Caenorhabditis elegans: one gene and its partner. The protein of the gene in region 1 purifies or fractionates together with the protein of each later gene. This does not show direct contact. Each region holds a gene or a part of one and is shown in the gene's direction. Other genes may lie near its edges.

Region 1 (16,445 bases):
TTATAAACATCAGAACCTCCATTCCTGTTTAATTTTGACCTACTGATCTAGCTCTCAATATGTTTTGTTCAGGAATCTCTTCGCTTTCAATCAACTCACTACAGCAGGGATCTTCATTATTCTGTTGTCTATAATCACTTTCATCTTTGCCATCACACCAACTATCAAGGCGACTTTTCTGGTTAGTTAATAATACAACTTTAAAAGATTTAATTCAAAATTTTAGTTTTCCTTATTGGTCGTTGGGACGCAAATCGAAGTGGCTGCATTGGTCCACTTATTCTCACTCGATCACCACCAAATCTACACTAATTTGGCACTTTTTGCTGGTAAACATAAATATGAAAATTTTAAATTTTAAACTCGTTTTTCAGGTTTCCTCGCCGCCTGGGATCCGTTTTGTGCTTTATTGCGATATCGAAGACGAATTTTGTACAAAAGTGAAACTAGACGAACCCCTGAGTTGGCATCAAAGAGACGAGTTCTTTTGCCAATTGTTGCTACAGCTGATATTGCTCAATTTTTTGTGTTACTTATTACAGGTATGATTTAGATTCAGTTTTGTGTAAACTAAAAATGTAAATTAAATAATAACACTAAGAAATATAGGGCAATCTAGAGCAATGGTGAGTGGCAATTATTATCTGCAATTCTACCAAATGGCATATTATTGCACCATGTTTGAAAATTAGTGTTAAACTATAGAAAATCACTTAATTTATCTGAAAATAACATTTATTTCAGTTGAAACATTTGAAAAGTGCATAAACATTACCTGAAAGTTGCAAATTGCCTATCATCGATCTTTTTTCAGCAATCGGCAACTTTCGAGCCATTTTTGCATTTTCTAAGACGTTTCAACTGAAACACATTTTATTTTTAGATTGAATTTTTTTTCTATATTTTCGCAGTAATTTTTTAATTAAAAAAAAATGTTAGAAAAACATGGTGCAATGGGACATTTTGTAGATTTTCCGAAGATCAGGTTGATCTATTAGTAAGGATTGAGTTTTCCTCCCCTCCCTCTTAATTTTTCTTTTTAAAGAATTTCCGAAGCGTGAAGTAACTTGTCAAAATTGGTGGCCATTCAGCAGTTCTCGGTCATCAATTTGTTCATTTTTCTTCCACTCACATCCGTCATCCATTATTCTTGCCACCTTGTCCATTTTTCGCCAATATATATATTTATTCTCACTTTTCTCTTTCTCTCATTCATCTTCCGACGTTTCAAATAAGAAGTCCCGAGGTTACTGTAGATGTATGAGTTGCTTTTCAATCTTTTTTCAACGTGTGTGGCCTCAAGAGCATTGGAACACGGCCAACAATGAAAAAGGGACACAAAAAGAAAGTGGCTGCTAGCTTTGGATAGAGACCTCATTTATCACTTTATTCTCTTGAGGAATTCAATGAATATGTGAAACTTGAATAAATGTTCTGAATTCTTTGATTTTTGAACATTATAAAACACACATAGACTAAATAGAATTCACCGTTCTCATTGGATTCCAGAATTCTACCGTAACCATGAAAATGTCAAATGACTGATTAGTTAACTACTATAACTCTGCAAGTTTCATTGAACTCTCATTTCATTTTTCATATTACAAATTTCAAAAATATATATCTAGGATTTATAAAAGTTTAGACTATGTTCATTCGTTCCTAATAAAGTACATTTGAAGTCGGGCGTAAAGCACAAACAATTTTTAGCTGTCACAACCCACTCTCAACCCTACTGCCTTTCCTTTCTTCTTCTCTCTCGTCTATGCTCCGCCCTTTCCGTCGGTTTTCTTCGTCGTAGTTCTAGTGTCTCGACATGGTGGCATTCGTTCCTTGAAAAGAAAAAGAATGTTTCGTATTCATGAGACGAGAGAAACTGAAGTAACAAAAAAAGGGGTATGAACTCGAAAAAAGAAGGAAAAGGAGACCGAAAATGAATTGATGGTGATTAGGAGCTGTGGGGGTTGTGTCTTGGAAGAGGAAAAAACCAGTTGAAAATGAAGCTCCAGGAGAGATGAATATAACGCAGAAGTGAAATTTTGCGTTTTTTGCTCCAAAAATACAGTACTTGGACTTGGCACGATAAATATTTCCTACATGCGAACAGATGTGCGGCTTTGAATATTACTGTAATTTGAAACTCGTTGCTGGTTTAAGGGAAAATTCGCAGCAGGGAAGGTTTGAAGTTACAGTACTCCTCGAAATTACAGTACGCGCACACATGTTCGCATTTAACTCAAAATTGACCGTGTCGAGACCGGGTACCGTATTTTTAGTGCAAATATTGCTAATGTTTGTATCTTTGTAATAGAAAAATTGTAAGAAATTACAATAACTTGAAATTTCAATCTTTGCAAAATAGTAATTTTTAAATATGTATATTTTCAGCGTTCTCCATACTTGCGATCATCTGCTCCATCGTTCCCGAGCTCAATATATTCTTCGTACCTACAGTAATCCTCATTGTCATTCAAATTGTCGCTGTGTTCAATTCAATCATCGTTTCAATTGCAACAAAACAAATGTTTGAAAGTGAAGTAAGTATGGATTCCTTTTCAATATTAAGCCCATCAGATTTGGTCGTCTAAGTCGGGATTATATTCAGTTTCTCTGGCAGCAGCAGTAGTTCTTCTTTTATAATCTCATCTTCATTCTAATATTCTCACATTCTTTTCAGGTTCGACACTATCTTCATAGAGACTTGCGGGGCAGCACTACCGCTGTCCGGGTCTACAATTTGGTGCAGAAACAAAGACTTGCTTCATCGTTAGACGAGCCTCAGGTCGAGCTGGACGAATTCTCAATCAAACGATCATCTCCTCCCTGCCGATATTATGCTCCACCACCAAAATATTCATGTAAGAAAAGAAGTCGATCATCTGATGAAGACGAGGATTCTGACCCAAATCAGCCAGGACCATCCAATCGTAGAAGCCCCAAAACCGGCAATAAACGTGTCAGAGGAAATGGTGATAACACTGAACTTTATATTCCAAATCGTTATGAGCTCATTGTTTCTGGAAAGTCAGTAGGCGGTAACACTAGTGCTGCATGGAATGGGGTAAGCTATCATTTCCATCAAAACTGTTATTTTTGAAACAAATTTTCAGCCTGGAAGCACTTTGGAACAAAATATGAATGCTCTTGAGGAATGCTTCGAATTGGGAGTTGATGAGTATGATTTTGACGAGCATGATGGGGATGAAGGTTGCGAACTGGTTCAAGATATGCTAGATCGAGAAAGAAATTTGATGAATAAAAGATCTACGGCACAGAGAAGGGAATCTCGAAACATTGAAAAGATGAAGAAGTCGCAAGAAAATTTGGACAAAGAAAAGAGTGAAGAGAAGATCAGTGAATCGAAGAAGAATCAGGATGACAGCATAGAGAGTCCGAATCTCCCAGGAACACCTGCCAACCTTCCAGTTGATGAACCACTTCCACCAGTTGGTCGATTGTATATTGTGGAGCATGTCCTTCCAGAAGAATATCGGCGAGATCCATTAACCGAGCCACCATCAATGGAAGATTGCATTCGAGCTCACTCTGACCCCAACCTTCCACCTCATCCGCGTGCTGATCAATACCCAGCCTCATTCACCCGTCCAATGGTTGAATATTGCGAAGATATTTACTGGACACACCGAACTGGACAGCTACCTCCAGGACTTCAAGTACCCCGTCGACCGTACGATTATTATCACATTACCGAGCGTACACCACCACCGGAAGATCTCAACTGGGTCCCACCAGCCGAATCCCCACCGATCCCGATTCCTCAGCAAGCATTCGATTTGCTAGAAGAAAGAAGACGAAATCATCGTGAGCAACAAGATGAAGCACGGGAAGGCGACCTATCAGACCCAGAGGTTTAAAATGTCTGTTTCCTTTTTCAGAATTTGGTTCCAAAATTTCATTTCTTACTCATTTTCGTTTCTATTATTTGTACAATTTCCATTTCATTATTTAATTTCTTATCTACTCATATCTACTCATATTTAATTTCTTATCTACTCATATCTAATCGTCCACTCGACCTCAACTTGTAATCTTTACGAATTTTGTTTTCTTGTTAATAAACGTAATAAGTTTAAAACATTTATTATAAATCAGCAATACTTAAATGCTCTGGGCGTCAAAACAATGACAAATTTGAATTATTTTCAAAAATTAGGAAGTGAGAAAGAGCACGGACCTGCCGGTGGATTCCAACATATTGAAACGATGAGAAAGATGAAGGAATTGTGGAATAATGTAACAAAATTATATTCTACCGGACAATGAAAAAGTGAGAGAACCTGCACTAATATTTAAATATTTGGAAGGGGGAAGGCTATTGAAAAATGCAATGAAATGAGTGCTTAAAATTGAGATGCGCTGGGTGGAAGTGCGATACAGTTTATGAAAAAGTATTAAGATTAAGGCAAAAACATGGAAGGAGGGGCGAATTGGTAGGTGAAAAGGCACAAACAATTATAGGGGGATTATTATAATTTATATTACAAAAAGGATTTGAAAATAGGATACGATGGAATTTAAATACAACGAGGCGTTTGAATAGCTTATCAATATATTTTCTATATTTTCGAGAGATTTTATATACTTAAAAGTAAGATTTAATGCCGGTCATTTTGAGGACGAGAGGAATGTTAGTGATGGAAAATAGGAAGGTAATATATTTTTGCAACTAAATTCTTCCAATTTGTCAAGCGATAAGAAAATAAGTTGTGAAGAATTTGAATTCAATTTAGCAGTATGACGCATTTAATTAGCTGCAAGCTTTGTGGCGCCATATTCCCCGTCATCAGGTGCTTCCTCTTTGATAACTGTTTTTTCCTCGAGTTCTTCAACTTTTGGTGTTGGAAGTATGTCACCATTAGCTTGTTCTTCGTCTTCTTCTTCTTCATCTCCAATTTCAACATCTTCTTCATAAGCCAATTCACTATCATTCAGTTCATCAAGTTCTTCATCATCTTCATGTGAATCTCCATTCAAAAGTTCACCAGAATGACTAGGACCCGGAATTGATACTCCAAATCCACGTTCAATCATTTCTCGTTGTTCAGCAGAATGATTCGATGTTGCAATTGCACCTTCTTTATACATTTCCGCCATCTGAAACAATTAATTTATGCAAATACATATCGTTTTAATTTTGAATTTTGATATTTAACAGACTAGGTATGTAATTTTTAAATTCAATTTTCATAAATAACTGAAGCGCTGACAACTATTCCAACTCACCACCGTGTTGAGTAGTGGAACATGGTCATCCCCGTTCAACAGTGCATCTGATGTATCCCCAACAGGTGGCGGACTGATGTTTTTCACCTCAAATATCAAATATTTTCGATGGAACTCAAAAACCCTTTTTTGTTTAGCATTTGAAATTTTTTCATAAATATTTTAAGACAAAATTGAAGGAATCAGCGAAGATTTTATCTAAGGTAGGTAGGAAGTTTACCTGCTGGAAAGGCGTCGGTTCATCAATGTTTCCACCGAGTCGACTTCTACGACGTGCATTCATGAAGAAGTTGGCAACTGTGGAAAGATCAAGACGAAGATGCTCAGCAATTGTTTGTTGCATTTCCCGAGATGGACGTTGAGTTTCTTTGAAGATTGCTTGAAGTGTACGCTTCTGTATGTCGGTGAATACGAGACGAGGTCGTTTTGATACAGGTCCATCATGATCGGAAGTAGATCTTCTGAAACTTTGGAAAAACTTAGAAATTGAAATTTTTTAAACTATGTATAAATCAGTTTGTATGAATGCATAAGTCTATTGGAAATTGTGGAATTCTACTAGAAATTTTTTTAAAACGTACCTATGTGTGCGCACATTCTGTGCTGGAGTTGGTGGTGACATTCCAGATGCTCTATTCACATCTTCTGTCTTCATATCAAGAATCGCCAATCTCGTTGCTAATGGCTGTGCAACCCAATTGTACATTCGACGGAATGTCTCACGTCCTGATTTCAGCTTATTCCATGGTTTTGGATTGCGTAGTAAATCAGAAAGAGTTCCCTGACTACGACACAATATTCTTTCGGCAAAAATGGCTTGTGGAATCGAATGATTTTTCAGCTCAAATGCTATACGTTTGCAAAGATCTTTTGTGTCTATATATATATCATCGCCAATCTCTGCATTCAATGGATCATTTGAGTCTTGAGTCGAGTAGATGCGACGTGGCTGAGCAATATGAGCAGATGGTGGTGTTGGAATATTGGAAGAAGAGATTGTCGGCGTTGAGATGACTGATGATAGAGCTTGATTGAGCAAACCTAGAGGCTTTTTTTGTTTCCGAGAATCTAAAACATACGGGTAAGTACAATTAGTGAACGAAAGGTAAAATGAAACAATAAATTTAGGAAGGGGAAGGTAAGTTCAAAAACAGAACATAGGTTAACATAATGGACAAAAAGCAACTCACTTCTTTGATATGGAGCTTTTTCATATTCCATTCGATCACCATTTCTTGGCTTCTGGTAACCCTGGTGGTTTTTGGAAAAACCCATAGATCCTGGTGACACGCCATCCTCATTTTTTATTAGTTGCCGTTGAATCATTGGTGTTGGATCGGAACCGAATGTACTGCGAGGAGATGGAGATTGTCCAATTGTGTTGGTGTGATGATCCTCATTTAACAACGATGAGATGCTTCCGAGATCTGTTGACCTGTCATTTGTTGGTGTATCTGGACGAATTCCTCCCATTAGTAGATGACTTCCATCGAGATCTTCCTCTTCCTGAAATTAAATCAAAATAATAATTATTAAAATGAAGATTTTTGTTTTATTCAGAAAAACATAACATTTTAATTTTTGCTTTTTACAGTTTCCAATTTTTTTTAAATAAAAACAGCGTTTTGAAGTACCTTAATATATGGTGAAGTATTGAAATCATGGGATTCTCTTCGCCGTGAATCTACATGAAGTGGAGAGAGAAGTCCAGCAGTGCTTCCAGAGAATCTGTAATCTCTGAATAAAAGATTTTATGAACTAATTTCTAATAATTATATAACTTACTCAGGTTCATTTTTTATAGTCTCGTAAGATGATGAAAGAAGCGAAGCACTTGAAAAGCTACTACTCGGTTGTTCAGAACTCATACTCATTGGTGCAAGTGAGGCGAGTTGTGGAGCCGAGGATGTAGCTGGTTCTTCGGTTGCAGAAGTTGCAGAGGATGTACTGGCAGATGGAGTTATTGGATGTGGACTGATTGTGTCAAGAAAGTTTTCCGGAAGCTCTTCAGCAAAACCCCGACCGGTGTTATTTATAAAAGTACTTGAGGGATCAATTTGTAGATAATCAGTGTTTCGTCGACGCGATTTCTCAGTTCTGAAATATTATAATTTGATTAAATCAACTCATGGATTCTCTTACCCATTAGTGGATGTTGCGGCGGTCCGTGATGACTCCATTTTTGTTGAAATTTGATAATTTGAACTTCAGTAGTGGTTTCGATGACGCTCAGAAATATGTTGATTCTGAAAATATGTTTACTTGATAAGAGAAAAAATTTTCAGCACAAAAATGAGTTAAATTGAGTGGTATTGTATGAGTTTGGCAGTTAAAAAAATATATTCAGTATAACAGCTCAAACTTCCTGAATCGGGAATTTCGTTATTCGAAACACAACACCAAGGGGAAAAAACGTTGAAAAATACAATATTACAGAGCGAAATTGAAAATTTTGAGTTTAAATCAATTTTTTGGTCAACTTTCAAAAAATCGATAATTTTGAAAAAAAATGATATTGATTTGTATTGAAAGTGGGAGAACATACTAGTTGCGACTAGACACCGATCGATACTGATGGCCACAGGGAGAGGGAGAGTGTGGCCGCGCGTTGTTTGTCCGTCTCTAGTCGTTTGCTGGTTATGTCTGACACTCACAATACTCCATACTATCTAGATTTCTTTGGAGTCCCTGCACATGATGATGGGGTCTTACAACGAATTGCCTGACAGAATGTAGACAGACATTAAATGGAAATTGAGAAATGACGGTAGAGCATGTGCATTTACGAGAAGCATGTCAGAGAGCGAAGAAGGAAGAAGCATAATATAATATATTACTGAATATTTTAGCTTGATATTTTTTGAATAGAGCAAAATTGGCAGCAATTTAAAAAAAAAATTTTTCTCTATTTTAAAAATCAAAAATAAATTTCTTGAACCCCAATTTCAGAATGAACACAAACTTGGCGGAGTTACCTGTACGAATATTTAAAATTTTATCAGAAGAACTTCAAAAAGATAACATTTGGATTAAAATTGTGGAATTCGATGAGGACCCGATTTATTATATGAAGTGAGTTTTAAATTAAATTTAAAAAAATAATTTTTCTAATAAATTATCTTTAGATCCACAGAAATTGAGAGTTTTTTGAAGAGAGAAAAATGCTGTGAACAAGTGCTCAGAAAATGGGGGAATCGCGGACAAACGGTAATTAAAGAAAGAAAATCGGAGAAGAAATTAAATACTTATTTCAGGTTGGAAGCTTACTAGCGAGATTGCAGTTTCTTTCAAGAACATATGAAGATGAATTCGATTCAATTCAATTTCATTTGCGACGAAAATTCAGTGAGTATTAAAAATAAATCCAAATAAAATTTAAAATAATTCTAATAAAATAATTAAATGTTATTTTGTCCGAGAGGAGTTCATGTCATGAGAAAGCTAGTCCATGTGTGATTTTCTAGGCCACCATTCAAGCGGAAATTTAAAAATATCCATTTTAAGAGCCTCTACGGTGGATACCTGATCCGGAACAACAAGTTACAAAAGAAATTGACGAAGGAAATATTAAATTGGAATGCAAAGCTCAAGGATTTCCATGTCCCGAGATAAAATGGTTTACAAAAGGCTCAAAAGAGCCGGTGCATATTGGAAGAGTTTACACAATTTTAAGGTTAAAAAAGAAGTTTATAATAAATAAGACTGAGATTTTTAGATGTAAATGCTCGAATGAACATCAATATAAATGTGTAGCGAAGAATGAGATTCGGGAAGGCTCACCATATTCGGAAATTTATCGAAAAGCTGGAAAACAATTTAGCTCAGTTATCGAATCAGAATATGTTGATGTAACATCTTGTATAAGAGACGACGAATGTTAGTTCACTTATTTCCAGAAAAGTATATTAACCTGAAATACTTACAGTATGTGAATCGTGTAAGAAATATGAAATGGGACGGTTGTCTCAAATTTTGGCAGAAGATCAAGAAAAGCCAGAGAACAAAGTTTCACCAGTTCGTCCAAATTTGGATATAACTCTTCGAGCAGCAGATAAAGTTGCACTTATTATGAGTAATTGTTCATATGTACATTTACCTGAATTGAGAACACCTCATTGTGATGCACAAACTTTGGCCGATGCACTACAGGTGACACTTTTTTGAATTTGGAGAAATATTTGAAATTCCATATCTGAATAAATACAATCATAATACTCCAAAATGACAGATTAATAGGGTATTTTAAAAATTTTCAGCCAAAGTTTTGGTAAAATGCCGAACTTACTAAACATTTTGGCTTGTGAAAACTGAATAATTTAAATGTTTTACTGGGAATAAAAAGTTTCAAAAATATTTAAAAGTATACAATTTGAGTACCACAAGCGTGATTTTTTAACAATTACCCCACTAGCACTACTCCTCCTTCAATAATTTTTTATTTCAGAAAATGAACTACAAAACAGTAACTCTCGCTGATCTGACACTTGATGAAATGAGATATTTTATTAGAGTTTATCAGAAATTGATTGGAAATGGAGTATACGGTAGGTATATTTGATTTTTAAAAATATAAAAAAGAACACTTAATTTAGCTGTATTCTATTTTGTTGGTCATGGATTTGAAGTGAATGGTCAATGTTATTTACTTGGTGTTGATGCTCCAGCAGATGCTCATCAACCACAACATTCAATGAGTATGGATTGGGTAAATACCTATAAAAACTATATTTAGAGAATCTAAATCCAATTCCAGCTTTTGTCAATTTTCCGTCATAAAACTCCTGATCTGAACTTGCTTCTTCTTGATGTCTGCAGAAAATTTGTTCCGTAAGTATTAAAACTGAATTCGCGTAACTCTGTCAAATTCGTTAAATTTAAAATAATTCGAAAAGATATTATGATCAGAACATTTTTATTTGAAAACCGGCAACAAATTTCTCAAATTCCACATTTGCCAAAAATTTGGCAGTATGCCAAAACTTTAGTATACGGTATTTAGAAAAATCGCCAGCTTGAACAGTTGAATATTTCCAGATATGATGCGATCAGTGCATTTGTGGAATATTCAGAACAATTCAAAAAATTCCATCGAGCCCATAGAAATATGGTTTATGGATACTCTACAAGCGGTGGAGTCGGAGCATATGAGGTTTCTTTTTCATTTGAAAAAAGTTTATAAAAATTGATTATTTTCAGGTTAAAGGAGAAGTGAATGGTGTCTTTATGAAATATTTGAAGAATCATGTTCAATTGGAAATATCTGTTATTGATATGTTGAATAAAGTACTATTAGGTAAGTATATGAACTTTTTCTCTGAGAACTATACACTATCCAAAGTTTCTACTCTGATTTATATTTTTTGCAGATATTGGGGATGATCAAAAAGTTTGTGATCTTCAAGTTCCCGAGATTCGAAGTACATTAACACATCCCAGAAGTCTGGCAGATCCATTAATATTCGATGGACATACTGCTTCATTTGATAATCATACTATACATTGGAGACTTATGCATGGTGAGATTTTTGATTTTTCTCTGGAACTTGTGTCTTCAAAATTGCATTAAATAGTATCTAGTTTTAGAAATTTTTGGAATTTTCAGAAGTTTCCAAAAATGTTGGTATTTTGAATTTTGAAATATTAAAATTTGGAACTTTAGAAAATTTCCAAAGTAGAAGGTTTCCTAGCATTCAAATTCCAGAGAAATGCTGATCAATATTCATAGGATTTTTTTTCAAAACTGACTATTCAATTCAAAATTGAACTGATAAAGTACTATTTTTCTTCAATTGTATAATATTTTCCAGAACTCCCAACGCCTGCAACAATTCGTTTTGAAACTCAACAATTAGTCGCTACGATTTGGTTTCAATTTTGTGGAAATTTCACAAACAAGGTTTCTAGAAAATGTCCTCAATTCTTTAAAGTATAAAATATTCAGGTTTACGTATTCGCATCAATATCAGACTTCCGTCCTTGCCAGGAAGACACCGATATGGGAGAAAATGAAGAATTAAGTGAAAATGCATTGAATCATCGAGCATTTGTTGAATTTCCTGAAGAGCTTCATTGTTCTGATGTTCGAGAATATAATGATGATGAAGAAGGTGTCTCAATGTTATGGATTCTATCAGGATTACAAAAAATCAAGAAAGAAGCCGGATTGACATGTGAAGTTCATTTAAGACACGTTGATGATCCAGAGAAGACGATTGAGATGAAGAATGTTGATATTGGTCATATTTTGATTACAAGAATCAAATGTCTACAGTAATGCATTGCCATGTGAACACCTACGGGTCCGAAAATCCATTATTAATTATTTTTGCCAATTGAAATGTAGTACTAATGAAACGAAATCTCATTTATTTTACAATGAATAAAATGCGTAAAGTAATGGTGTATGAATTAATATAAAACGAATAAACCGATGGAAGGAGAAAAAAATGAACGAATACGCCATCGTGAATGAATGAAACAGACAAAGCAATGGGAAAGAAACGACAAAAAGGATGAGAAAGAGATTTTCGCGTCAATATATAGAGAAAATGATTGGACGGTGTGGAGAGAAGAGATGCTTATTTAGAGATGGTATTGTGGGTGAAAAAGCTCGATTGTGTAACGCGGCGAATAGTACATGAATATCACCGATGCCTATTAAAACAAATGGAGATTTTATGAACCCTCCGGGGGCATAAAGGGGCGTGGCAGTAACAGTATTCTCTGCGCAACGCGTTTTTTGAGGTAGGGAAAATTACGGAAACGGATTTGGTTTTTGGAGATGCTACCGGAAAAACAAAACAAGCCAATGAAAACGGCAAATAATTGGACAGATTGGAAGATGATGAAAATACCAGACAACTCAACCTAATTGGGGATCAGGAGAGAAAGAGGAATCGGCTAGAACGACTACACACTTTGAAGAATTCAATAGAAAAAAAAAGAAAAACGAGATGTTTAGAATGTAAGAAAAAAATCATATTATGAGTCAAGGAAATTGAGGAGAAGAAACACATGAGGTGGGTTATTATGAATATGATTAAAAGAGAACGGGAAGTGATAATAACGCAGAATAGATAATGTAGAATAACGTTTGTGAGAAACGAGTCAAAGAAGTGGGTAGCACAAAATGGGTCAAATTTTTTTGTGTTTTGAAAATTGAAGTGATTGAAAGTTTGAAAAAGCTTGCACAAGTATGTAAAACTATCTACGACAACTACGACGATGCACAGCCAGATGAAGAGCATAAAACGGCACAGCCGTCTTGCAAAAAATAATGAAGCCAACTGAAGAATCGAACAAATCAACGAGCAGTAGAGGTTTGAGACTGTTGGATTGAAGTAAGAACATGTAGTTTGTATGCATTCGAGAGTCCAGCTGTCCAGTATGAAACAACTTGTTGATCCTGAAAATAAATAAATTTTTATAATTCAGCGGAAATTGAAAACGCACCTCAACGCCGCATCCGGTGATGTGTTCGAATACTTGGGGATGTGAAAGCTGTTTGGTCATTTGGTAGCAGATCTTTGCTTTGAGCATCCATCCTTCACGTGTCGTGCGAAGTGCAGTTTCGAGAATAGTATCCGTCACATCTGAGTCGAGAAGCAAATCACGGTAGCGGTTCACGATACGGGGAAGTGGTCCATTCGATCCGTCATTCTCCGGACGACGACGAACTTCAATGACGCAGTTCACAAGCGACATTTGTTCGATATCAACAATCGAAACATCCCGTGGTGAAACACGAAAAACCATTACATCCGAAACTTCGAGTGGAATGTCCATGTTGTGAGGGCCTCCAATGAGATTGAATCGAGAGCTGCAAAAAATTAATATGAACGTATGTATATAGTTTGATCATTTGTGTTTTGATCCGATATCCTAAGGAGCAAATGTCTAGTCAAACAATGAATACATCATCCTTTCCGCCCGATGAGTACTACACCTTTGTCTGGTCAAACATGCTCATAACTAAGATGACCAAAGAACAAAAGTTCACCTGTATTCGGGCAGGTACTGTTCCTTGTATGTTGCCAATTTAATGCATCCAATTGGGAGTAAATTCGAGATGGCAAGCAAGAATTGACGGCAATATTCTTTTTCGCGCGATTCGACGACAACCTGAAAGAAAAATATATAGAAGTTTTTAGCAAAATTTAAAATTTTTCAAATAGCAATAAATTTCTGCGAGCGACAAAAGCTTCAAATCTAAACAATTTCGGAAATATTAAGAAGACTGGAGCAAAACGAAATAAATAAATCTTCCATTTTTTTCTTTCTACTACCGCTGACTCTTTTTCTTCCCTTTTTGATGCAAGTCTGAGCAAAACATTTTTGGAAACGTTACAGAGGAATAGATTTATTATGCATCTTCTTCTTCTTCTTCTCTTCCCACTTTTCAATTTTTCTATTCTCCAAACAGACTTATCTTGGTCCCTGACATCTGGTGGTTTTCTATTATTATTGCTGGCATAATGTTTTTCGGAAGGAACTCAAATACTTGACATAAACAGGGAATTTGGAATGGTAAAAATGAGTGTAGTTATTTGTGGCGTCCGCCTCATTCCACATCCATTATCCCACCAATAATGACATCAAAATGCGCATACAGTACCTATGAATACGGTTGATTCTCACGATCCGATCACAAATCACCGCTCCGTAGCTCGCCAATTCACAATAATGTCTCGGCGCGGGGTTCGTCTAACATTTTTACGAGTCTCACTTCTTGCGCTTAGGTAATAAAACGGAGCTTTCTGTCAAAGAGAAACGAGAATGCAGCTTGTTATTTAATTGCTACGACAAGGCTAAGGCGCTTTTAGAGGGGCACTTTTAAAATAATGTCAGCAAGTCACGAAAATTCGATCTTGTCGACATTGCAATTCAACAAGATGAGCTAAATAGAAAAAATATTTGCTTTATCTGAAAATTTGTTTTTTATTTAGTTGGAAAAATTGAAAAAGTGCTCAAAAATGTTCCGAAGGTTGGAAATTGCCGGAAAAAAAATTAAAAAAGAAAATTTCAACTTTCAGACAATTTTTTAAGAACTTTTCAATTGTTTCAATTTAAATAAACATTATTTTTAGATAGATCAATTTTTTTCTCTCACTAAATTTTAATGGAAAAATATTGGGAGAACATGACTAGCTCAACTTTTAGAATTTCCGGGGCTTTTGTAATTAGAAAAAATCAAATGAACTCTAGTTTATTATTTTTCTCTACCATTTTGTATGCTTTTTGGACGAAATAACCGGGATACGGTATTGATACGATTTTTCGTGGGCAAGTGCGATTTGATAAGATGATCAGAAATGCGCGTTAACGATACGGTCATTATAAAATCATAAATATTAACGCTGCGGTGGAGATTTTTCTGATTATATTATATTTAATTGACGAACCTGTCCTCCAGTGACAATATGACGAATTAAAAGATCCAGATCACCAGGCTCGCTGCAAGTATTTAGTTGAGTTGCGATGATCTTGAGATTCGCCAACTGGGCCATTGAAACCTGAAATCCAAACTGTCTGAATTGATGGTACTGTTCTTATAAATTCTCGGTCATACTGTTTTTTACTCAATTCCACCCATAAAATTCACATGGCTGACTTCTCTTTTTGTCAAAGGCTTATCCTCCGTTTACATTCAATCTAGTATTTAATAAAAGTTGTTCGATCTCAATAGTCTACATACCTTGCCCTTTATGGTTTCATTCTCGCAGCCTTCAAAATCATCTGGCTCAGTTGCAAGCGCGGACTCATTTTTTTCATGAACACGCATCATAAAAGATGGAGGAATGTTCTGAATTTCAATGATCAGTGGCATCTCTTCACGCAGAATTTTTTCGTTTTGAATAGCCACAGATGATGATACAGAAGCAATACACATACTCTTCAGTTGATATTGTACCGGGATATTGAATCGGTCTACTGCGTGCAAGTTTTCTGGCGGTGAGAATTATTTAAATGCAAGAGAATTCGGAAAAAGAGCAAAGGAAATAAAGAATATACTAATCAAAATGGCAACAAATACAAAATGACTGATTGTATGTACTCTCTGAGGTGAGAGAAATAAACAAATTTAAAAGGGTGGCGTCAATCAGTCTACACTTTGTTTTATAATCAAAATATACTCATTCTATAAAATGTCGAATGAATTTACGATGGTTTTTATTAATAGATAATTATTATCGACTACATTAAATTTGAAATAAAAAACAACATTCACGGAGCAGGCCCAATGAGTCTCTTTCGGCCACACAAGCAGGCATCAACGCACCGCCACGGCCGACTGAGACTCGCTCGACCGGCCGATCGAAGTGAGAGGAGGACGTACCCGCCCCCTAATCGAGGCAACGACGAGACGGCGGAGAGCGAACGACGGATCGACGGCCGGCGGGCCGAGCGGGATGGGCGGAGTTAGGCTAGAGAACATGGAGACGAAGAGACGCAGACATGTCTCACAGAGCACGGCGATGAACAAAAAGAAGGGGAAATGAAGAGGTAGAGGCTTTTCAGACCATCTGGAAGGTTTTTCAAGTGCAAAGAGACATAGAGCTTATGCATGCGATAGAAATTAATTCATCCGATACGTCAAAAATGAGAATTTTGAGATATTAAAATTCATTCAGTCGTGAAAAATTATTGAACAAAAAATGTCTGTATCAGTCCTAGTCATCTGTGAAGGAGTTTCGAAATAATGCAGATGAGGGAGAGAGAGAGAGAGAGAACTGATAAAGAAAATGTGTGTAGCACTTTGAAGATAGTGGTCTCGAAACATTTGCTACGTATTTTTGTTGTGTTTCATCAAACGTTCTATTCGAAAATGCACAATTTCTCAATAATTTCTTTTCAATCTTTGATAAAAAATGATTCATTATTGGCGACAGATGTAAGAACACATCAACATGTGCACTGAAATATTATCTAAGGAGAGAAAAAGAAAATACATTGAATGAAGAAATAGAATGAAAAATAAAATGAGTGATTCACTACTTACTATCTTTCTTTTTCTCTGTGTTCATTCTTTTTTTGAATCAACACCTGCTACTGCAACTAGAGAGCAGTTAGTAGAGTATGTACCCCTCGAACACTTGTCATCAAAGACAGACGGAATAGAAAATGTCCGTTTGCTGTTCAACTCAACCATTCAGTCATATTGAAGCTAAATATAGACGACTTGAGAATCAAAAAATAACCAA
Region 2 (16,929 bases), on another chromosome or scaffold:
ATGATTTTAAAAAAACGCTGAAATCCCCTCGGAAATGGGAATTTTTAGCCATTTTTTGTACATTTTTAGTGTGTTTTGTACATTTTTAATGCGAATTTTTGGGGATTTTCAAATGAAATCGTCAAAAAATGTGAATTTCCTGAATTTTCAATGATTTCCATCATTTTTTGTATAAAAATTGCTTTAAAAATTCGCATTTTCTAGGTTTTTACAGCAATTTTTTACCATTTTCTGTTGAAATTTCGCTTTTTTCAGGGCAAAAAAAAAAGAAAAAAAATCACTATAAGGGCTAAAATTACACATCATTTTTAACGGTTTTACAGTGATTTTTTACCCATTTTTTGGGTTTTTTTTCTAGTTTTTGTAAAAGTAGTGGCATTTTAGTAGCCCTTCTAAAGTGGATTTTTAGTGCTTTTTCCTAGTTTTTCGGGGAAAAAACCGCCATTTTTTCAAATTTTCAGCGAAAAATTGCAAAAATTCACTGAAAAAACCTCGAAAACACCGAATTTTTAGCCATTTTCGCACGAAAAATGCCCAAAAATCGGGGGTTTTTCCGAATTTTTTTCTTCAGATTCCGAACCTCTTAAAAAGGAGGCACGTATCCTGCTCACTGAGCGCATTTCTGACAAGAAAAGCGCCAGCAAACTTGACATTTGTTCTGATGAAGCTTATAATATTCTCGTCGAGCACCGAAGCCTGCAGAAGCCGATCGTATTGTGGATGAGTTATCAGAGCTGTTCGAACGAATTGAATCATCATATCTGACTTGGAAGTTCTGGAAAAATTTGCGTTTTTTTTACATTTTTTGGCGGGAAATCTGATTTGAAGAGGGGTAAGGCTCAAAAATTGGGTTTTTGGGCTTAAAAATGTGCATTTTTTAATCTTAAAATGCACATTTTTTAAGCTTAAAATGTGCATTTTTTAATCTTAAAATGCACATTTTTTAAGCTTAAAATGTGCATTTTTTAAAGCTTAAAATGTGCATTTTTTAAAGCTTAAAAATGTGCATTTTTTAATCTTAAAATGTGCATTTTTTAAGCTTAAAATGCACTTTTTTAAGCTTAAAATGTGCATTTTTTAAAGCTTAAAATGTGCATTTTTTAAGCTTAAAATGTACATTTTTTAAGCTTAAAATGCACTTTTTTAAGCTTAAAATGTACATTTTTTAAGCTCAAAATGTGCATTTTTAAGCTTAAAATGAGCTTTTCTAAGCTTAAAAAGGTGCTCAAATTAACGAATTTTGTAGTAAAAATCCACAAAAAATGTTCAAAAATTAGCTAAAATCTCAAATTTTGCCACTTTTCCATTTCACAGCAGTCCAAAGTTGTTTATTTTTTTTACGAATTACTGTTAAAATTCGTGAATTTTGCAAAAATCAGCGCGCCGCACAGAAAAATAGGCGGGGCGTGATTTCACAACCCTGCGGCACGGTTTTTTGCACTACCTTTTTGTGATTTTTTTTTCAATAAAATTGTGATTTTCCTTTTTTTTTCGAATGAAAGCATTTTTTATAGAAAAAAAAATCACCAAAAAATAGAGCAAAAACCGTGCCGCAGGGTTGCGAAATCAAGCTCCGCCTATTTTTCTATGCGGCGCGCTGATTTTTTTGCAAAATTCACAAATTTCACAAGTAAATCGTAAAAAGTTACCAACTTTGCACTTCTGGGAAACGGAAAAAGTGAGAAAATTTGAGATTTTAGCTAATTTTTTAACATTTTTTGTGGATTTTCACAACGAAATTCCTTATTTGAGCACATTTTAAGCCTAAAAAGACACATTTTAAGCTCAAAATTGCAAATTTTAAGCTTAAAAAAGCACATTTTAAGCTCAAAAATCTAATTTTAAGCTAAAAAAGCACACTTTAGGCTTTAAAAAGACACATTTTGAGCTTAAAAAATGTACATTTTAGGCTTAAAAATGCACATTTTAAGCTAAAAAAAGGACATTTTGAGCTCAAAAATGAACATTTGAAGATTAAAAAAGCATATTTTAAGCTTCAAGTATATATTTTAAGCCTAAAATTGGGGCAAATTTCTGCCAATAAATTCAATTTTAAGCTCAAAAATCCAATTTTTGAGCTGAAAAGAGCACATTTTGGGCCAAAAATTCAATTTTCAAGCTAAAAAAAGGCACACTGAAAAATCCACTAAATCCACAAAATCCACACTAAAATCCACAAAAATCCATTCCGTACGTCAAAGTAGTTCCATCAAGAATTCGATCAACACATCCTTCAATAACTTCATCTTTCAAATCCACCAGCGGCATTGTCATTCCATCACGAATATCCAGAGCCGTGTCAAGCTCCAAATCTGAGCTCACTTCTGATGGTGGAGCCGAGTCTGATGATTGAGACATTTGATCATCACAATCGATTTGTTTATTTAGTTCTTCTACTGGAAATTATAAAAAGGGAATTTAGTTGGGAACACTGCAACTTTTTCCTCACGAGGGACGAGGAAAAGTAGTTTCTAGGCCATGGCCGAGGGTGCGAAAATCTCGACTTTTTCACCAAAAAAGTTGAATTTTGAAAACCTCAAAACTTTTTCAGCGGTCTCGTTATGAAAATCAGGTAGCTTCAGCATCTAAGCATCATATGTATCATGTTTCAGAAAAAGTTTAGGTTTTGTATTCCCGTAATCCATCATATTACAATGCCCACTTTCACCGCTACTTGCCGACTGATAACATAATTTTTTAACTTGGAAATTGTTTTAGCATCTGCAAAAAATATTTATTTATCAGTTTTAATAAGAAAAAACGGGAAAAAGCTGTGAAAAACGAAAGAAAACAGGCGGAAAACAAAGCAAGATAAATGGCCGCTGAAACTTGTCGGCCCCCTCGGCCATGGCCTAGAAACCACTTTTCCTCGTCCCTCGTGAGGAAAAAGTTGCAGTGGGGAAATGAGAGATTTTTTTTTTCACGGAATTCTGGCTTCCCCCTCATAAATTGAAATGGAAGAGAGTTTGTGTGCCGAACTAGGCCATTTTAGGTCGGCGGAGAGATTTTGTGTAGATTTACGGCGCGTTGCGTGTCGCGTCGCGGCTCGATTTTAGTTGTAAAACTGAATGTATTTGTCCGTGTGGAGTACACGACACTTTTCCACGCGTTGCCCAGCAGGCTATTGTCAATGGAGCGCGAAAAATATGCATAAGGACGGCCAGAACCCCGTGTTTTGTTAAAACTAACACTCTGGAGCTGTCATTCCGGCGATCAGATCTGATTGGTACTCGGCGATGGCTGAAAAATGGGGAAATTTGAGATTTTTTGGGGAAAATTTGAGGATTTTTGGGCTAATTTTGAACTTTTTAGTGAAAAAATTGAGGAAATTTGGCCAATTTTCGAGGAAATTTGGTTTTTAAGTGGAAATTGAGGAATTTTGAGCTTTTCTTGTGAAAAATAGTGAATTTTGGGCTAATTTTCGACGAAATTAGAGTGAAAATTGAGGAAATGTAGACTTTTTGGAGATTTTCTGGTGAAAAATGTGAGGATTTAGACTTATTTTCAAGAAATTTTGGGATTTTTTGGTGAAATTGATGAAGTTTGAACTTTTTTAGTGGAAATTGGAAGATTTTGAGCTAGTTTTGAGGTTTTACAGTATAAAATATGAGAATTTAGGCTATTTTATGATGAAATTTGGGATTTTTCGGTAAAAATTAAGGAATTTTAAGATTTTTGGTGAAAAATTGGGGATTTTGGGCTAATTTTCAAAGAATTTTAGGCTTTTTTTGGTGGAAATTTGAAGATTTTGGACTAATTTTCAAGGAAATATGGGATTTTTTAGTGGAAACTTAAGGAATTTTGCGATTTTTAGTGGAAAATTGAGCTTTTTTGGCAGAAATTTGAGAATTTTGTCCTATATTTCGGAGAAAATTGGAATTTTTTTTGTTAAAATTTTATGAATTTTGGGATTTTTTGGTGAAATTGGAAGATTTTGTGCTAATTTTGGAATTTTCTAGTGAAAATTTTGAGGATTTAGGTGAATTTATGAAGAATTTTAGGATTTTTTGGTGAAAATTTAGGGATTTCGTTCGAATAACCCGAATTTTTGGTTAAAAATCTCGAATTTTCGTGATTTTCCGTCATTTTTCCAATTTTCCGTGGGTTTTCACAATTTTCGCACTCCGAAGGCTCCGGAATAGCTCAATTTCGATAAAATCTGGGTTTTTGGGCTAATTTCGTTCGAAAACCCCGAATTTTAGGTAGGTTAAAAAACTCGAAATTTCTCGATTTTCAAGCATTTTTAGCCAATTTTCCGTGGTTTTTTCAATTTTTCAATGATTTTCGCTCCAAAAAACGAGCACATACTCGGCTCGAGCTCATCAAAAGCCTGCATAAGCTCTTCCTGCATCTTATCACCAGAACACATTGAATAGATCACTGGCGTTGCTGATGTATTCTCTGGATCTACTTTAAGCCGCCATTCTCGAATAATTGGATCTTCTTGCTCGAGAGCTTCCATTCTGGGAGGGAGTTGTGTTGGAGCATTGTGCATTATTGGATAGAAAGCTTCAGCCATTCCTGATTCGTAGTCCTTTCGTTCACTGGAAAAATTGAGTGAAAATCGGGTTTTTTAGGCATAAAAATCTTGTGAAAAGCCGCCAAAATTTTGTTCATTTTTGCCCTTTTTAAGCTTTTTTCCGGGTTTTTTTTTTGGGGGGATTTTTGAGGGGGAATTGATGACATTCCAGTGTTTTGAAGATTTAAATCACTAAAATCGAGTTATTAGGCACAAAAATCTCATAAAAAGCAGGAAATTCGCACTAAAACCTGGGAAAAATTGGGGGTTTTTGGGGAAAAATTGAGAAATTTAGGTGAAAATCGGGGTTTTTAGGCTTACATTCCTGATTCGTGTAGTCCTTTAGCTCACTGGAAAATGTGGGGATTTTTCGAGCAAAATTGAGGATTTGCGATGATTTTTGAAGTTTTTTTTCGGATTTTTTATTGGAAAATGAGGAATTTTGAGCTTTTTTAGTGAAAAGTTCAAAAATTTTGCCATTTTTAGTGAAAAATTTGAGCATTTAAGCTAAATTTTCGAAGAATTTTAGGTTTTTCTGGTGAAAATTGACTATGAGAAAGCTCGGGTTTTTAGGCATAAAAAGCTAGAATTGGCTCCAAAAACCCAAAAGAAAGGGGGATTTTTGGTGGAAATTGATGAAATTACAGTGAAAATCGGGTTTTTTAGGCATAAAAATCTTATAAAAAGCGGAAAATTTGCTCAGAAAACCCAAGAAATGGGATTTTTTTCGAATTTTAACGGGAATTTTTCGTTTTTTACGTTTTTCCCTCGAATTTTCGCGAATCATAAGTAAAATTGAGGATTTTTGGGGTAAAATTGGGTAATTAGTGTGTGAAATCGGTGAAAATGTGAAAAAAATCGAGTTTTTTCATGGAATTTTCTCGAATTTCCGTACCATCCCAGCTCCCGCATCGCTTTCGGCAACGGAACCACCGAATCATGAACTTCTGGCCAATGATCCGTATTCGCTTCACACCAATCCACAAAACCCGTCCGATCGATGCCCTCCACCACCACCGTCAATCCCCCCGCCGCCGCTTTTTGAATAAAATCCGGTGCCGTCAGCTTTTCGACCTGATTTATATTGTTGCTGACGATAATTCTCGCAAGCATCGCCTCAATTCGGTGCTCAATTTGCTCGGCGGCAAAAAGAAACGTGGCGTACGGATGGGAGTACACGTCGCTCAGATTTTTCGGCGGTTTTGGACGAAGTTCCGGCTCGAGATCGGGCAGGCGCCATACTATATAAATAATATTCAACCGACGAATCACATCATCCCTTTCTTCAGAATGAATCTCAAAACATGTGGCAAGAGCCTGAAAAATGGCTAGAGAGCAGCGATTTGTGAATTGTTCGACGAATGTGTTGCCGAGAGAGTTGAAGGATTTGTTTGTGGTGCGAATAAAGCTGGAAATTAATTAAATTTCTTATTTAAACACTGATTCTCAATAAAAAAAAATACTTTGAAATATTGGAAATATCAGTTTCCGAGAAGAACAAGTCCTCGTCTCGCTTTATATCCTCCAGCATCTCGAAATCGTTTTCTTTTTCCTTTTTTTGCGACTCGTGCGGTGGCGCTGCAGCGGCACCGGTTTTCTGGTTCTTCTTTGCCTTTTTTTTCGTCATTTTTGGCTGAAAATTAACGAAAATTACGGAGAAATTGATGAAAATTGAGTTGAAAATGAAATGAAAAGAAAAAAAAACAGGGAAGCGAAAATAATGCAAGTGCGCTCTATCTGCACGCCATAGAGAGTACGAGACGCAGAGATCGTTGGCGCACTTTGTGATTTGTTGACGTGTTTCTCGTGCATGCTGACGCAATTTTAGTTTTTTCAGCATTTTTTTTTTTGAAAAAATCCATACATTTCCCAATTTTCAGCAAATTTTTCAGTGAAAGGCCTTTTTTTCCAAATTTTCAGCATTTTTCCGGAAAAAATCCATAAATTTCCCAATTTTTCAGTATTTTTACGGAAAAATCCATTAATTTCCCAATTTTTCAGCATTTTTCAGTAAAAATCCATAAATTTCCTCTATTTTAAGAATTTTTACGGAAAAAAAATCCATAAATTTCCCAAATTTTCAGCTTTTTTTTCGGAAAAAACAATTATTTTCCCGTATTTTTAGCATTTTTCAGAAAAAATTCATAAATTTTCCATATTTTCAGCATTTTTTAAAGAAAAAATCCATAAATTTTCCATATTTTCCATATTTTCAGCTTTTTTCCAGAAAAAATCCATTAATTTCCCAATTTTTCGGTATTTTTCTGTGAAAAATCCATAAAATTATCAATTTTCAGCATTTTTCAGTAAAAATCCATGAATTTCCCATGCTTTCAGCTTTTTTTTTCAGAAAAGATCCAAAAATTTCCCAATTTTTTAGCATTTTTCCGGAAAAAAAATCCATTAATTTCCCAATTTTTCGGTATTTTTCATTAAAAATCTATAAATTTTCAGTATTTTTCAGAAAAAAATCCATAAATTTCCTATATTTTCAGCATTTTTTCGAAAAAAAATCCATAAATTTCCCATATTTTCAGCATTTTTCCGAAAAAAAATCCATAAATTTTGCAAAATTTCAGCATTTTTCTGAAAAAATTCATATATTTCTCGTATTTTCAAATTTTTCCAGAAAAAACTCCATATATTTTCAAAATTTTCAGCATTTTTCGATGATAATTAAAAAGAAAACAATGCAAGTGTGCTCTATCTGCATGCCGTAGAGAGTACGAGACGCAGAAATCGTTGGCGCACTTTGCGATTTGTTGGCGTGTTTCTCGTGCATGCTGACGCAATTTTCGATTTTCAGCATTTTTTTCAGAAAAAATCCATAGATTTTCAAAATTTTTCAATAAAAATGCACCTTTTTTTCAGAAAAAAAAATCATTTATTTCCCAAATTTTCAATATTTTTCTAAAAAAAATTCATTATTTTGTTCAATTTTTCAAATTTTCAGCTCTCACAATGTCCTCCGTGCTCAGGCTGGCGATGAGAGCTAAAGGTTTCAGTCGATTTCTAGCAGAAACCCAGGCGTTTCCCGTGAAAAATCGACATTTTATGACGTCAAGTGTGCGGAAAACTGGCGATTTTGAATATGAGGCAGGCGGAATTTGCGGAAAAAATTAAAAAAAAAAAGGAATTTTTAGGATCCAAAAAGTGAAGACGAGGTGGTGAATATCACCTACGTGTTACGGGACGGCACGGAACGAAAAATTCGCGGAAAAGTCGGGGATAATGTGATGTTTTTGGCGCACAGGTAGCAAAATGAGCAAAAATATTGGGATTTTTTTCTAAAAAAAAAACGATTTTATTACAGATATGACATTGAAATGGAGGGAGCTTGCGAGGCATCACTTGCCTGCTCGACGTGCCACGTCTACGTCGATCCAGCCTTCCAGAACAAGCTCCCGGAGCCGCTAGAAGAGGAAGACGATATGCTGGATATGGCTCCGGCGCTCAAGGACAACTCACGGCTCGGCTGTCAAATTGTGCTCACGAAAGAGCTCGACGGAATCACTGTAACCCTGCCGACAATGACACGCAACTTCTATGTGGACGGGCATGTGCCGAAACCTCATTAATTTCAATTTTATTCTTGTGATATTCATCATTTTCTATTCAATTTCCTGAAAATTTCGAGTCTTAAAACGAGATTCGGGTTGTATTTTTTCCTTGTTGCTCAAAATGTTTAGAGTTTATATTATTAAAAATCGCGCTCGCTTTTGACCTTTTACTCGATATATTTATGTTGTAATTTCTCTGCGTCTCCTCGTTTTCGCACGATCACTCGCCGAACAGACACCCTCCAGATGCTGCTCTGGGCCCCCAACAGCCGGTCAATCAGGACAACTTTTAACTTTCCACTCAAATTGACCACTGAAATGCTGCGTTTATTGATTTTTCTCATATTTCTAGCCGATTTTTCGCTTTGCCAGGACCCGAAAGTCACTTTTGAGGACTATTTTCAGTTTGGAAAAAATGAGTATACGGAGAGAAATTGGCCCGATTGTGTGGCTTTTATGAAGCGAGCAATTGATGATTTTAGGTGAATTTTTGAGTGGTTTTTAGCTTGGAAATTGGAAAAATTCGAAAAAATTACAGAAAAAACCCTGGAAATGTCTTTTTTTCGGCTAAAATAGGCGAAAAATCACAAATTTCCCGCAAAATTAATTAATTTTCAGGAAAAAGAAATTTTTTAGCAACGTCGCTCTATTGAGAAAATATTTCGGCGGGAGTTTAAAATTCAATTTTGTGGTTTTTTCGAAGAAAATCGCATAAATTTGATCGAAAAACAGTCTGAAATAGCGAAATTAACCCAGAAAAATCGCATTTTCACTGAAAAATAATTAAATTTATAAAATACCGCCTATGCAAATTCACTCTATTGAGAAAATGCTTCGGCGGGAGTTTAAGATTTAATTGTTTGGTTTTTTCGGAGAAAATCGCATATATTTTAATGAAAAACGCTCTGAAATAGCGAAATTAATCCAGAAAAGTTGTGTTTTTCACTGAAAAATAATTAAAAAATACTGCCAGTGCAAATTCGCCCCATTGATAACACTTTTCAGCGGGAGTTTTGAATTTATTTGTTCTTTTTTTAGCTTTTTTGAAAGTAAACTCGTGCTTTGCGTCATTTTCTAGTCTGAAATAGCGAAATTACCCAGAAAATTCGTGTTTTACACTGAAAAATAATTTAAATTCTCTCCCATGCAAATTCGCCCCACTGATAAAATCATCTTTTTTTTCTAGACAATACCAAGACGACGTGGTGAGTTGCCGCAGAAAGTGTAACCGGCAGATCAAACCTGCCACGTCATCCTCGCCAAAAATCGCAAAATTCCACGAAACAAGTGAAACTGCACTGTGTCTTTTGAGATGCCGGAAGGACATGTTCGGAGGTAGTGATGATGCATGTGCACTCCATTGCTAAAAAAAATTCCCCCGAATTTCAGATCATCAATCGATAAAGAAAATGTCAGTGTACCATGATTTAGAGGAGCGCAAGCCGTATCAGTACATGCATATCTGCTATTATCATCAGGGCGAGCTTGCGATGGCCGTTCAATCGGCCTACACGTTTTTGGTCGCAAATCCGGATGATAAGGATATTAAGCAAAGTTTGAATTGGTACATGAATCGCGATGGATATTCGGATGATATGCTTATCGATATGGAACGGAAAGATCATGAGGTTCGGGGCTTGGGGGTCTTGCAACGATTATTTAAATAAATGTTTGGAGTTTAAAGGTGCATTGTGAAAAATCACTGAAAAATCTTGAAAACTCCCCGAAAATTGATTAAAAACCCTCGAAAATCAATAAAATTTCGTCAAATTATCCACTTTTTTTTGTGATTTTCCGAGATTTTTAGGCCTAAACTTAGGCCTAAAATATGTATAATTCAAGCCAAATCCTCCCAAAATAATGATTTTTTGAGATTTTCTCAGTTTTTTTCCAGGTTTTTATCATTTAATTCTGCTTCAGCTGGCTTCACAACCATTTTTCAATTCTCAAAGCAAAATTTGAGCTAATTTTAACTAATTTTGTCAAAAACTGACCTCCAGACTGCAAAAATCTTGAAAAACCACGAAAAAAATTGGAAAAACCTGCAAAATTGATTGAAAATCATCAAAAATAGAGAAAAATTAATCGAATTATCCACTTTTTTGTGATTTTTACCCACAAATTGGCCACTTTTCACAGGGGCTTCTGGCCTTCTCCACACGGACAAGTACATTTAGTTTTTCGAGCCGCAACGCGGCACGCAACGCGCCGTAAATCTACCCCAGATTTGGCCGAGCTAAAATGGCCTAATTCGGCACGGATTTCTTGCTTCCCTCATAAGTTGAAATGGAAGAGTTTGTGCCGAACTAGGCCATTTTAGCTCGGCCATATCTGGGGTAGATATACGGCGCGTTGCGTGTCGCGTCGCGGCTTGCTTTCAGCTGTGAAACTAAATGTATTTGTCCGTGTGGAGTCCGGCGGGCGATTGTCAATGGAGCGCGAAAAATTCAAAAATTCAATGAGGAAGGCCAGAATCCGGTGGCCGAGTTTTTCTCACACCTCACTTTTCTAGGCCAAATTCATCAACGGCGTCGAGGCCTACGACCAACAAGACTGGGGTCGATGTGTCAACGAATTCGAGTCGGCGCTCGAAAAATCGATAATTCAAGACGAAAAGTGTCGGCTGCTCTGCCAGGATAAAATCGATTGGAGCGTCGTTGACGGCAACCCGGAAATCGATATTTTGTTGGCAAGTATGAGAGCTTCTGTGATACGCTGTGAGCACAACTGTCTGTATAAGTTGGCGAGGATCAACGGGCATTATGTAGGACATTTGTTTGCCGCGCACTTTGAGTACCTGCATTTTTGTCATTTTAAGAGTGAGTTTACCGCCTAAAAAAATTCAAAATTCAACAAACAAAAAAATTCCAGTGCAGCGGGGCGCTGAAGCGGCTCAAACTGTCGCCAATTATCTCCTCTTTGACGACAGCCCATTGATGAGACGAAATCGGTATTTCTACGGGAAACAGTACAAAAAGAATGAGCTCTTCACGCCGAGCCAAGAAGTTTTGGATATTTATCGGCGAAGAGACCTTGAAGCCCGATTTTTAGAGTTTATGGAGAAGCGATTCGTGGTGAAGGACGGCGAGGTGAGTCGAACCCGCGGCAGCCAAAAACTGGTTGCGCGCGAGACAAAGCGGTAACCGACTGCGCCACGCATGCATGTCCAAGCAACAGAGAAACCAGTGTGACATGGTTGTGCTTATAGTTAACTTATAGTTAAGTTGGAAAATTGCAGCTCCCACCAGAACAAGCCGACGACCGTAACCCGTTATCACTGGATATCCACGTGGAGGATAACTTCCCATACGAGCAGATTCCAAGTTTGATGACGTCATCAGAGTGTAAAATCCTCCGCTCAGCGCTGGACACCAGAGAACGGGACGGGTTTGTGAAGGAGTTGGAGCAAAGAGTCAAGGTTTTGTTTTTTTCAAGAAAAAGTCTTTAAATAATCCCTAATATTTCCAGCTCTGGCCAAACTCCTCATATTCCAATGTGACCTGTGGGAGCCCAGTCCGTGAAGCCCAGTGCTCCAGAGCCATCGTCTTTTCGGCGGAGCACAATGACTGTGGAGAATGGCTGGGCAAATGGTTCAACGGATGTGCTGTCGTGTTTTGTGATGAGAAGAAGATTATTGATTGATTTTTGTGCACTTTTTTTGACATTGAAACTAATTTATTTTGTTAATTTTTAAAAATTGTAATACCAAAAAAGAAATCCAAGAGTTATGTAGAAAAGATGAAACAGACAATTGTTTTATTTTCAAAATTTTTATTAAAATTGCACTGTTTCACTAATTTCATATAAGGATTGAAATTGTTAAATAACTAATCGAAAGGTTGTAAAATTGAAAAAAAAAACATTGACATAATTTTCAAATGGTTTTTAGTTGATTTTTCAAAAAAAAAACTTCTAAATACAGTGAAAAAAGAACAATTTTGCAATTCTGGTGCTCAGAATATTAAAACTATTTATCGTTTGAATTTTCAGAAAATGCTGAAACAGAAAAATGTTCAAAATTATTTTTTCCAACTATTTTCAAGATGTGTGTAAATCAGTAAGTTGTACGCAAATCTGAAACCCAATAAAATAATCTCACTTAAAAATTACAATTTCTAAGTTCAATTTTTCCTGTTTCACGCATTTTTTATAAATTCACTATCACAATCTGCAATATTCTCGTTTCTTTTTGCTGATTTAAAAAAAAATAAACTGAAATATTAGTGATAATACTAGTTCTAAAAAAGTTTTTAAAAGATGCTATATTAGAATAAAGTCGTGGAAAAAAAATTTATGACAAAATTTTAAACCGAAATTTTTTCAAATCTAAAAATTGAATTTTTCCTTGTAATGTAGGTAATGGATACGGAATAGACCTGACAAAAATAACAGATCAATTTTCAAACGGAAATGTTATAGGAGAAACGCTTAACAAAATAACAAAAAGTACGAATTTTTAAAATTTCTTTTTTCTGCCCTGAAACGGTTGATTATGAATTTTAAGACAAAAAAATCCCTGTTTCATGTTTACAATATTTTGCTAGCTCTTTTTTGAATTGTATTAAACTGGGTTTTTTCTATGGCAAGAATGATTGAAGCACCATTAGTTTTTGAGGATCCGGGTGGATTTTTATTTATAAATTAAAAAGGAAGTTGTGTGTTCTAAAATGCTTCAACGACATCTCGCGGGTTTCTCATGTTTTTGAAGGTTTTTCAGGGTGAGTGGGGGGTGCTTCCTTGGAATATTTTTTAAAAATAAACTCGTGAATATTCCAATTATCCTAGGTTTGCAAAATGAAAAGAAGAGAACAGCGTACAAGGAGAATTTCGTCTAACATAGATATAAAAGTTCCAATTTAGAAATGCAAAAATTGAAACAGTGATTTTTTGAAACTTTTTCAAAAATTCACAGCTATTCATTCAAACTCAAAATTGGTCATTGTGAGTTTATATGAAAAATACAAAAAAAACAATAATTTGAAAATGATTGTTGAAAAATTGCAAGGTTTCTTTGAAAAAGTAGTTAAACAGAAATTATTTTTAACTACGCTTCATTGAAATATTCTTCTTGATTCTTTTTGATAACGTTTTTGATGACGTTTTTGTTCAAATTAAATTTAATACAGTGCACTCAAGTTCTATAGGACTCCCCAAAAAATAAATCCAAGAAATTCAATGAAAATATAGAGTTTTTCAACATTTTTCTAAAATTTCTTCGTTTTCATGCGTGTTTTGAATTTTGAAGTTTTTCAAAATCTGTTTTCAATATCTTAAATTTTGCAAATTTTTAAGAGAAGCTAAAAGGCTAGTTTTCGTTGAGTTTGGCTATGTTCAAAATTTATCTTCAAAAATTACAATTTAATTAGTTCGGCAATTCTAGTTAAAAAAATTTTGAGAAAAAAAAGAAAGAATTTGAAAATATTTTACAATTGCCGAATCGCCGTTTTTCTGTTTGGCTTCCATGTTGGATAATGTTTCTGATCTACACTTTTGTGTTATTTTCAAAAAAAAACAATGCTTCATATTATTTTTATAAGTTTAACTGAAAATTATATAAACGTTTATAGGATAATACCGGATTTCTATTAAAAATGCTCAATGTTTAAGATATTTTTCTGTCTTACAAACTGAATACTTTTTTTTTGCCGAATCCCAAAAATTCTACACCCCTTGAAATTAATAGCTCCATCTTAAAGGCTAATATACAAAAACCAAAACTTGGATTTCAATAGTGTAACAGTTTTTGAGTTTTGCTAATGATCTAAAATTGTTTCCTTGATTTGTTCTCTCACCAGTTTTTCTGTGTTTACCTGAATTTTCAGAAATACCAATTAAAAAAAAACATTATTTTTTACTGTTTCTAAAACACGATTTCAGATTGCCTAACTTTGAACAAATCGTTCGTCAATTCATACCTTGTTAATAATATGAATAATTGATTTCTGCATTTTTAAATTCGTCTAGAAAATTTGGTTTATAGGTAAAATAACCCAAATACATTTTGTTTCGAAACTAAATATCTACCAGTTTCAGTTTGCAAAAAATCTGTTTTATATCAGACATACTAATGTTCATAAACTGCAAGGTTTTTTTTGAATATGTAGTGAAACATAAATAATTTTGGGAAATCTCGACAGCCAAATAACTTAATTGTTTTCTGTCAAAAAATCATCATTAACTATGATATTAAATATTATTGCTAAAAAGTGCGTATTCCGTCTGTCTATAGTGTATTGCCTGTGACGTCACACTTCACAGAGAGCAGCTGTGCTGGAAAACATGCGAATTTTGGCCAATTAACGAGTTTAAATTTTTTAAATGAAAAGGATCTACTGGGATATTTTGGTAAATAAGTATTATTGTTTTACTTACCAAATACGACAGTTGCGGAATTTTAAAATTTTTGATAACCGGCTCTTTTCAAAAAAAAACTGCCAAATTGCAGAAGTATCGGATTGCCGTTCACCCCTAAAATATTGACTTCTTGTATCAGGAAAAAATATTGCTTTTTTTTGTACTTTAAAAGTACAAAATTTCGGAAGTTTTGCTCAATTTTTTTTGTAGTGTAACCGTGTTTGGCTAATAATTCAAAATCTTTTCTTGATTACCTTCTCACTAACGAACTAATGTTCATAAATTGCAAGGCTTTTTTGAAGAGGTAGTGAAACAGCAATAGTTTTGGGAAAAAAAATGGTTTCGATCTACGCTTTTATTTAATTTCAAAAAAAAAAGTTTCATATTTCTGTTTCACAAACTGAATAGGTTTTTGCCGATTTCCAAAAATTCAGCATTCTCAAAAATTATAGCTCCTCGTATAGGGCTAATGTATTAAAACCAAAATTCGGATTTCAATAGCGTAACAGAGTTTTGTGTAATGATCTAAAAATGATTGCTTGAGCTGCTCTTAACGGTTTTACTGTGTTTTACTGTTTCGTCAAAAATACTAATAAAAAACAAAATTTGTTTACCGTTTCTACGAGAGAATTTTAAATTGCCTGACTTTGAACGAATCGTTGCTCGCATGATATAATTGATTTCTCCATTTTCAAGTTCGTTTAGAAAGTTTGGTTTATAGGTAAAATAATTAAAATATATTTTGTTTCAAAACTAAATAACTACTGCCAGTTTAAATTTGAAAAAAAACCGTTTCATATCAAAATTTAGAAACATTTATATATTTCACATGCTCCATATAAAGTCTGAAACTGTTTTAAAAATAATATCGAAATTTTTTTAAGTTTAATAAACGAACTTGAGCACAGTGGAATAAAAAATATTTTTTACAAAAAAAGTTTCCAAAATACCTCTGAAAATGTCGAAAATAAAATTTTGAAATAAATTTTATTCAAGATGCCAAGTACACCGGAAAAATCCGTCAAAATTATATGAAAAATGTGAAAGTCGCAGAATTTCTCGAAAGATTCAAAAAAGTTGACGAAAAAAACACTGATTCACTAAAATACGAGTAGCAGTAAGCGTCTTGAATAATCAAAATTTAATTACAACTATAGAAACATTATCATTTGTCTGATTTTTCTTCTAATCGCTCATAAACTTTAATTTTATGCAGAGTTAAACTTATTTATCTGTCAAGTTAACCAATATCCAATGTTTGAAATAAATTTGTTTTATTTTTACAAAAATCACTGTTTCAATCTTAAGATTAGGTTTTAAGATCAATATTTGTACAATATTATTTTGAATGGGCGCAGGAATTTTTCTCCAAACTTCAAGAACAAAGCCAGAGGGTACGATGAATTGACGATGTGAGCGGACATCATCTGGCACAACGTTCTGAAACAGGCTATTGTCGAACAAAAACATCCTTTTATTAATTAAACTTTTTTGTAATTTGACATGCTAATAGATATTCAATTCTAATAGAGAATATTTGCAAGCCTATATAAAATCGATGGACTAGTGTTCATAAATTGCGTTTTTTCTTTAAAAAAAGTTGTGAAACAGAAATAATTTTGGGAAAATTCGACAGTCAAATAACTTAATTTTTTTCTCAAAAAATCATCATTGCCTATTATTTTAACTACTATTATTAACAAGTGCGTATTCCGTCTGTCTAAAGTTTATTGCCTGTGACGTCACACTGCACAAAGAGCAGCTGTGCTGGAAAACAGGCAATTCGGCAATTATCGAGTCCAATTTTTTTGTATCTACTGGGATATTTTGGTGAATACATATAATTGTTATTCTCACCCAACACTTGAAAATCTGAAAACTTTGATTTTCATTTTGACATTTCGACAGTTGCCAAGTTTGAAAATATTTGACAACCGGCTCTTTTACAGAAAAAAACTGTCAAAGGATTGCCGTCCACCTCTAAAATTATTGGCTTCTCGTAACAGGAAAAAATATTTTTTAAAAATACAAAAATTCGGAAGTTTTCTCAATTTCTATAGTGCAACCGAGTAAATAGAAAATTTTCTTTGAGTTGTTCTCAACGGTTTTGCTTTGTTCATTAATTGTCAAAAATACTATAAAAAATTACTGTTTCTAAAACACGATTTTCGATTTCCTAACTTTGAAATTGTTAATGGATCTGTAGTTTGTTTGTTTGTTTATTCGAAATTAGATAAATAGTAACAAAATGTAGTACATAGAAGATCAACGGGGAAAATCGAATAACACATAAAATAAGAAAGACCCGTCAGAGTCCACCGTCAATTCATCGTACCCTCTGGCTTTGTTCTTGAAGTTTGGAGAAAAATTCCTGCGCCCATTCAAAATAATATTGTACAAATATTGATCTTAAAACCTAATCTTAAGATTGAAACAGTGATTTTTGTAAAAATAAAACAAATTTATTTCAAACATTGGATATTGGTTAACTTGACA

The links.
Region 2: the proteins of malt-1 (region 1) and Y73F8A.26 fractionate together in Caenorhabditis elegans (co-fractionation; one large-scale study listed by BioGRID). This does not show direct contact.

What each region holds. Positions count from the first base shown.
Region 1 is NC_003280.10:6,943,049-6,959,493, reverse strand, and holds malt-1 (Mucosa-associated lymphoid tissue lymphoma translocation protein 1), read left to right. Parts: upstream 1-8,193; 5' UTR 8,194-8,194; coding exon 8,195-8,316; intron 8,317-8,369; coding exon 8,370-8,451; intron 8,452-8,498; coding exon 8,499-8,589; intron 8,590-8,748; coding exon 8,749-8,917; intron 8,918-8,959; coding exon 8,960-9,120; intron 9,121-9,169; coding exon 9,170-9,393; intron 9,394-9,688; coding exon 9,689-9,788; intron 9,789-9,836; coding exon 9,837-9,949; intron 9,950-9,997; coding exon 9,998-10,071; intron 10,072-10,278; coding exon 10,279-10,393; intron 10,394-10,440; coding exon 10,441-10,537; intron 10,538-10,610; coding exon 10,611-10,760; intron 10,761-11,051; coding exon 11,052-11,140; intron 11,141-11,185; coding exon 11,186-11,518; 3' UTR 11,519-11,639; downstream 11,640-16,445. Other genes in the region: tra-2 (Sex-determining transformer protein 2), read left to right, coding at 73-181, 227-329, 375-542, 2,389-2,537, 2,678-3,061, 3,111-3,875; ceh-38 (One cut domain family member), read right to left, coding at 4,765-5,115, 5,245-5,331, 5,465-5,711, 5,826-6,312, 6,435-6,750, 6,879-6,981, 7,030-7,341, 7,387-7,424; flcn-1 (Folliculin), read right to left, coding at 12,548-12,649, 12,697-13,063, 13,244-13,365, 14,646-14,768.
Region 2 is NC_003282.8:15,465,337-15,482,265, forward strand, and holds Y73F8A.26 (Leprecan-like alpha-helical domain-containing protein), read left to right. Parts: upstream 1-8,323; 5' UTR 8,324-8,397; coding exon 8,398-8,561; intron 8,562-8,980; exon of another isoform or gene 8,981-9,001; intron 9,002-9,265; coding exon 9,266-9,414; intron 9,415-9,468; coding exon 9,469-9,707; intron 9,708-10,591; coding exon 10,592-10,898; intron 10,899-10,950; coding exon 10,951-11,168; intron 11,169-11,317; coding exon 11,318-11,497; intron 11,498-11,547; coding exon 11,548-11,721; 3' UTR 11,722-12,176; downstream 12,177-16,929. Other genes in the region: ntl-11 (CCR4-NOT transcription complex subunit 11), read right to left, coding at 581-775, 2,195-2,396, 3,190-3,240, 4,309-4,544, 5,415-5,927, 5,983-6,146; fdx-2 (2Fe-2S ferredoxin-type domain-containing protein), read left to right, coding at 7,481-7,615, 7,663-7,772, 7,833-8,097.